2 linked regions of the Drosophila melanogaster genome follow. The protein of the gene in region 1 interacts with the protein of each later gene in a pairwise test. Each region holds a gene or a part of one and is shown in the gene's direction. Other genes may lie near its edges.

The links.
Region 2: the proteins of CG8292 (region 1) and CG18135 interact in a two-hybrid assay, tested with the Drosophila melanogaster proteins (one large-scale study listed by BioGRID).

The regions. Positions count from the first base shown.
Region 1 is NT_033779.5:8,216,196-8,219,823, reverse strand, and holds CG8292 (uncharacterized protein), read left to right. Parts: upstream 1-1,806; 5' UTR 1,807-1,924; coding exon 1,925-2,137; intron 2,138-2,199; coding exon 2,200-2,850; 3' UTR 2,851-2,973; downstream 2,974-3,628. Other genes in the region: Snx6 (sorting nexin 6), read left to right, coding at 18-462, 526-708, 953-970, 1,145-1,254, 1,320-1,413; CG8349 (uncharacterized protein), read right to left, coding at 2,985-3,421, 3,481-3,628.
Region 2 is NT_037436.4:18,991,512-18,995,266, reverse strand, and holds the start of CG18135 (uncharacterized protein), read left to right. Parts: upstream 1-2,099; 5' UTR 2,100-2,127; coding exon 2,128-3,755.

The DNA.
Region 1 (3,628 bases):
ACATCTTTACTTGCCAGTGAGTACCTAGCTACCTTCAAGAAGACGGTGGCCATGCACGAGGTTTTCCTGCGCCGCCTTGCTAGTCATCCCGTCTTTCGCGTCGATCAGCACTTGAAGGTTTTCCTGGAATACGACCAAGATCTGTGCGCTAAGCCACGCAAGAAGATGGCCATCTTTGGCGGCTTTGTCAAGTCCCTGGGCAAGACCACAGACGAGATCTTGTTGAGCGCCACGGTTCGGGATGTAAATGACTTCTTTGAGAACGAGCTGCAGTTCCTTACCGAGTACCACGGCCACTTGCGCGAGGCAGCACTCAGGACGGAGAAAATGACGCAACGCCACAAGGATGTAGGCGACTCGCATCAGAAGATTTCGAATGCGTTGACGCAGCTCTCGACTACGGAAAAGGGAAATGTGGAGACGTTTGTGGCCAAGACAGCGGAGATATTTGAAAGGATCAAGGTGCGCTACGCTGCGTTTTCGCTATAATTATATTTTATAAATTTTCCTCTTGATATTTTAAAGAATCTGGAAACCCGAGTGGCTAGCGATCAAGATCTCAAGCTGGGCGACACTCTGCGCTACTATCAGCGGGATAGCGACGCTGCCAAAGCTCTACTTATCCGGCGACTGCGGTGTTTGGCTGCTTATGAAGCGGCCAATCGAAACCTGGAGAAGGCTCGCTCCAAAAACAAGGATGTTCATGCGGTAAGATTGAGGGATGATCACAACTAGTTCTTCCAGAACTATGTTTCAGATCGTTTAAAGAGCAATTGTTTTCCCTACAAAAAGTTTCCAGCGGGTCAATTAATTCTCACGCTTCACTAATTACAAATAACAAATTATTTGCGTTCTTGTATTTTATTGCTACCGTACACAACCTCACAACTCTCTGATCTGCCTGTCCCTCCCTCTTCACTTTTTGTGCGTGTTTGTGGTTCTGTTTCTGCAGCCGTTGGAGGTGCAAGAGGTATTTGGCATTTAACGTTTTAACCGTCGGTTTAGTAGATGTGTCGCCACCCCACGTAAATGCTGCATGCGCTCCACCGTTGCTCAATCTGTTGTATTCACTTTAGCATGCCCTTGCTGTGGCCCACTTGTTGTGTTCCCTGTATATAATCGTTTTTGTTTATCCTCCAATTAGGCCGAGACTGCCCAGGCGGAGGCCTGTGAAAAATTCGAATCTATGTCTGCATGTGGAAAGGAGGAGTTGATCGGTTTCCGCAACCGACGGGTAGCTGCTTTCAAGAAGAGGTGAGTCAGCAGCTGCTAAACATTTTGCTATGCTCTGCATTTTATTATCGCTTTTCTAAACACAGCCTCGTCGAGCTCTCAGAGCTGGAGATCAAGCATGCCAAGACGCAGTATGAATATCTGCGCCAATCACTGCTAGCGCTCAAAGAGATTGCCTGAGACGGGGAGCCGGAAGTAGACAAGGAATAGAAGGATGAGTCACCCGCACATTGTTTACACACCCCATTGAAACGCAAGCCTCATCGATTACACACATCCGGGAGACGAAGTAAATCAATTGTTTAATTGCTAAGCAAACAGTTTATTATTGCACAGGCCAAATCGAGTGCAACATTATTATCTTAGCCCACGTATTATATTAACGAATATTCATTTGTTTTGTGAACAGAGCGCTTTTATATTTGTCAAACAAGCATTCCTCTCTACAGCATAAACTACAACTACATATATTGTAAACACTTGCATTTGAAGCAGAATATAAACGAGAAATATTGTACAGAAGGCTGGCTGTTTGTGAGCAGTCAGTATACTAGCATTGTTTGGAGTCTATTCGGTAACTGGGCAACATCAAGGGTTTCCAAATTAAGCGTCTCAAGGGGTGCACATTTCCATTGTCGCTGAAAATTGTGTTTGTTGTCAGTGTTAGATAGATTTTCAAAGTCCATAAGCCATGGATGAGTTCGGCGTCTTCGATTACAAGCGCCCTGCCAGCGCTACAGATCCCGATTGGAGGACCTCGTACTATCGAGGGCATCGCCACATTACAGACTTGAGAATGGGTAACAAGCTGAACGCCAAGTTTACGGATAAGGGTATTTATGTAAAAGATCCGCTGCTGTCCGAGAAGCCGACTTCTGAGTGCATGGCCAACTATGTGTGGCAGGTGAGTTGATTGATATGCTGAGATATGTTGCACCAAACTAAAACGTGACCATGATGTTCCAGTATAACGATCCCAACGCACTTAGAAATCCCTCGCTCAACATGAAAACACAGTATATGAAACCATTTGAGGAGGGTTCCCTTCGCTTTGTAAAGCGAAAGATGAAGCCCATTTCTAGTGTCAGTCATGAGTCGTATGTACTTAAGGAGCTGCCGGAGGAACAGGAAATATTGCCTGTAACAATGCCCACTCCGGTGGTAGCCACCAAGCTAGTCATCGACCGTTCGGAGGCGTCCTTTAGCAAGTACCTTGATCCCTCCTCCACCACATACAATCTGTCGTATGTGCGCTGGGGTCCCGAGGACTTGTGTGGCGGAGTAGCTGCCCACGACAATATTACATACTGGAATTGGACGGAGAAGATGCCGCCCATCCAGAAAGTGTCCCGCGAAGAGGATCCTACAATGTGTGACGAGGGTAATACGCATAATTGCCCAAAGCGACGCTGTGAGTTTCAAAACCTCACCAAACGAGTGCCGCATTCGGGAATGGTCACCGAGGTGCGCGCTAATTTCACGGATCCACAATTTCGAAGGGTTGAATTCGATCCAGAAGTTAAGCCCATACTCGTGCACGAGGAAGTCACTCCGTTTGCGGAGAAAAGCGAATACGGCATCTACGGATCGGGAGAACCAGTTATCAAATACGTTTAGTTCTCTACACATTGTTTTGACTTTTTGTCAAGTTAATCAGATCGCTAACTTAAATTATTTGCAATACTTATTGACATTAGAACGAATAATTTTATTGCATTAAATAAATTCTGGATATTATTTAGATGAAAATTTCATTCAAATGAGTTAAAGCTGTGGGGAAGCAGATGGTAGGCGGACGTGACCAGCACTTCAGCTTCGTCCGGAATTGAAGGAATGCAGTTCTCTTGCTCCGGCGGCGGAGCCTTGGCAATGTAGATAGGAATATCATTTTGGATGAACTCCAAAATGAACTGCCGGCAGACTCCGCAAGGTGTGGTAAACCCATCTGGGTGATAGGCTACCACAGCACCCGCCGTATACTTCTTCTCGCCCTCGCTGATACCCTTGGCCAGGGCACAACGCTCCGCACAATTGCCTGGAGTGAAAGCTACGTTCTCGATGTTGCAGCCCGCGTAGATCCTGCCGCACTTCGCACGGAAGGCTGCTCCCACTTTGAATTTGCTGTAGGGCGCATAGGCACATCGACGGGCAGAAAGAGCCGCCTCTAGCAGCTCCCGGCCATCCTCACCTGGAGATTACGGTTTGATTACCAATGGCAGAGGATTCACCATTATAGCCAAGCCTTACCAACAGCACAGAACGCTACTGTGTACTCCTCCAACATCTGTGGATGTGGCAGGTTTTCGGATTCACTAGCCCGACCCCTGTCGCCATTTAGACGCGCCTCCCTGCGTGCTAGCTCGCATAGAAATCCCTCCAAGGTCATCATATACTT
Region 2 (3,755 bases), on another chromosome or scaffold:
CGCGTTTTGTTTATGCAATTGTCGTGGGTAAAGGAAAATCTATATTCGACGGGGGCAGGGGGGCTTTTAACGATGTATGTATATATATCTATCAGGGCTATCATATGGGCGGGGAAATAATTGCCAACTTGGTTAATAACAAAGTGTTTCAAGCACACCTAAGTTGGGGATTGGTGTAAATAAAAAATGCCTATGTATGTTTTCCCGCCTTGCGAGAATGGTATCCTATTGATGTCATTTCCGTCGAAGTAATCCAGTAATTCACGTACAGTACCACCCCTGGGATCCCGGTATAATATATCCCACTCTTTTGAGTTTCTCTTCAAACTGAATGCCACATGTTGCAAAAGGTCGCTGCCTCACGTGACTCAACCACTCAAGCACCAAGCATGCTATAAGGTTAAGCTTTCGAGAGGGTCCCCGCTCAAGTGGCCCATGTCTGATTAGATGTTGGCTTATTAATTTCTGAAGAGGCTGCCATAAACTACACATAGTATATGGCTGATATATGAGCTCTGATACCTAGCTGACTGATAACGAGTTCAGCTGAAATACAAGCCACGAAACACATGGGCCAGCTTTTCGCCTTCACTATAAATAAAACGCACGCCAAGAAGTGAGTGGAAGTAGAAACGGCCCAAACATGAAAAGCTTTTTGAGTCTGAAATTTCCCAAAACAAAAAACATATGGCAGAGTATTCAGAGAGATATAGAGCGAGTAGCAGAGCGCCTGCGTTAGGAACACGTGAAAAGGTGTTTGAGAAATCGGAGCAAAGCTCGAATATCATAAGAAAATTAACATAGAGTTGAGAAATTAAAAGCTGAACCACATATTGCTCGAAATCAAAATTCTTTTGAGAACTATTCGATGTTTGGGGCGTTACTGTGGGCGTTTCTCCCCCCGTAGAAACTAACAAGGCTATGCTAATTGTGCCAAGAACGTGAAATCGCCAGGAAATCGCTCGCAAAACGCACCTTCTGACGCAATTAGTCAAAAATAAAAAATGCGGAAAACTATATGCTGCCTTGCTAGCAATAACAACTATAACTAGTGCCAAATCGCGCAGTTTTGAAAATTTCACCAGAACACGCGACTTTTGCCATCGAAATGTTGCCAAGGCGGCGGATGAATATACATGCCAAAAATCTACATATAGCCAAATCTGAACAGTCGGTCGGTTAGGTGGGTGGGTGGTTGGTCGCCTTTTGCTCCGCCGATAATAGGTCTATAAAGTAGGCGGCTCGGTAAACAATTTGTGTGCGGGCACAGCACGTGCTAATTTATTCAATATTTCGGTTAATTTATGGGTCCGCTCCACTTACGTAAACTGCGCCCGCTGCGAGTGAATTTAGCGCCCAGTTGTCAGGGGATCGTCGGCAGGTGTAGGGCACTCAGCAGTCGTTGCATCACCGATCCTCTGCCGTGGCATTCATGGCAGTCGCCGGCCCAGAAGTCGCAGCAGCGACAAAAACAGCAACCGCTGCTTAAACCGCCTCAATTGCAACCGCTTCCGTGCGGCTTGCGCGCGATTCGCTCAAAGGTAAACCGCTCGATATCGAACAATTTGTAGCGCGTGCTGCTACTTACATTTTTCAAGTGGAATGGGAGGAAATTAAATTATTGCCTCCTGTGCTTGACGTATAAAAATATATTTCTAATTAAATATTTCTCAATTTGTTGAAGGGCCTTAGCAATTTTTCTGTAGAACTATGTTTATTAACTTTCCAATACTTTTAACCTGAATTGATGAACGCCATAGACGAATTAGTTGTTTCAATGAATACAACTAAATTTATGACGAATAGATTGTAAATACACACGTACGAGCTGGGCTATAATTAAATGAAGCCATAATTCAATTTTATTTCCCGGGCAGATGGGCTAGATCTCAAACTATGGGTTTCCGTCAATATATTTTTATATAAATATTAGGGGTTATCTACGCTTTGACAAATAGTTACGCAAATAGAAATTTGACGAAGGCAGGCTTAGCAAAAAGGCACGTATAAATCAAATGACTATACGTCAGATCAGTGTCCAATCGAGCGACTCAAGTGGTTCGAATATTTATTGTTTTTTTTTTTTAATAGCTAAATAGCTAAGCTAAGCTGTTGATAATAGGCGGAATGATCTTTAGTCGGGCCCCAGTACAACACGTGATCTTGTTTGCGCCTCTGAAAGTCACGAGCGGTTCTGGAGCGACTAAAGACGCGTGCTTATCGCGCGAACTTGTTTTCGATTCTAAATCGAGAAATCGGCGATTCCGACGAGCCGGCGGGGGCATTGGGAGCACGGGGGCTAGGGAGCTAGGGAGCAGAGACAGCAGACAGTCGACGCCCCGCTTAGAGAAACTTTATCAGGCAGAAACGGAATCCGCAAGGGGTCATCGACTAATCTCGCTGGCTCAGCAGGAAAGTTGCCGAGCATTTAATAGCGGACTCCGCCGCTCGATCGACTTTCAGTCGGCGCGCGATCTCCACTCTAACCCGATGGCCATGTCTCGGACTGTACTAATCCTGGCCGTTGCCTTGTCCTTGCAGTGTGCCGCCTTCGTGGACGGAGCCTCCATCACCTATGGAACCGGAAACGAGCTAGAGTCGGGATCTGGATCCTCCGCCGCCTGTAAGCCCACTCTGCGGGAGTTCAATGTGCGGCTGGAGGTTCCCCTGGCCGCCGAGGAGCGACTGGGGCTTACCGGCGATGTGAAAGCCCTCGGCGAGTGGCAGCTGTCCAGAAGTGTGGCTCTAGAATCGCTGGACGAGCTCAACTGGCAGGCCACGGTGGCCCTTCAGTCCTGCCGCCAGCTGGAGTACCGCTACTTTGTCTACGTGGAGGATCTCTCTGGCTACAAGCAGATCCGCCGTTGGGAAACCCATTTCAAGCCCAGGTCCCTGGGACCCTGTACGGAGCTACAGTGCAGCCAGTTGGACGTCTTCGGTATTACGTCGGACAACTCCGATCTAAAGCCGCAGGTGCACCGCGGCTGGCTGAACCATGAGGCCATTCTGCAGCTCAAGTTCAATGGCGAGAAGATGTTCCAAGTCCACGACATCGAGACCTTTGACCCCCAGCACGTCCAGCTGAAGATTGTGCCCGTGGAGAAGACCGCTGGCCTGCATGTGGAGTACTCCAAACAGGAGTACGGCAAGAGCCAGCTGGAGCTGCAGCCTACTTTCGGAGTGCCCTACACCAAGGGGGACATTGTCATCTTTCACATCACGCTGCCGCTGGAGAGGATGATGGAGCAGCACTTCCGCTTGGAGTGCTACAGCATGTCCAACGAACTCCTGGGCAGTGCCACTCTGGTCACCTCGGACCTGACTGGCAGCGAGGGAGTGCTCCACCTGCCGATTAAGTCGGCCAAGAATGCAGATGAGACCCTGGCCAGGCTGAGGCTTCCCTATGTCGCGGTGCAGCCTTACCGCTACTCGCCGCTAGACTTCAAGAACACCTATGCTCACTACTGGCCCAAGAGCTGGCCCAACCTGGATGTGGGTCATCGTGGAAATGGCAAGAGTTACATTGCAGACGCTCCTGCGGAAAGGGAGAACACTATCGCGTCTTTCCTGAGCGCCCATGAACATCACGCAGACATGATCGAGTTGGATGTCCATTTGACTGCTGATGGTGTGCCTGTGATTTATCACGATTTCGGACTGCGAACTGCTCCGCCTGGCAAGCAGATCAGCCGCCCAGACCAGCTGGAGTACGTGCTGATCAAAGACATAAACTATGAGCTGCTCAAAAGGCTGCG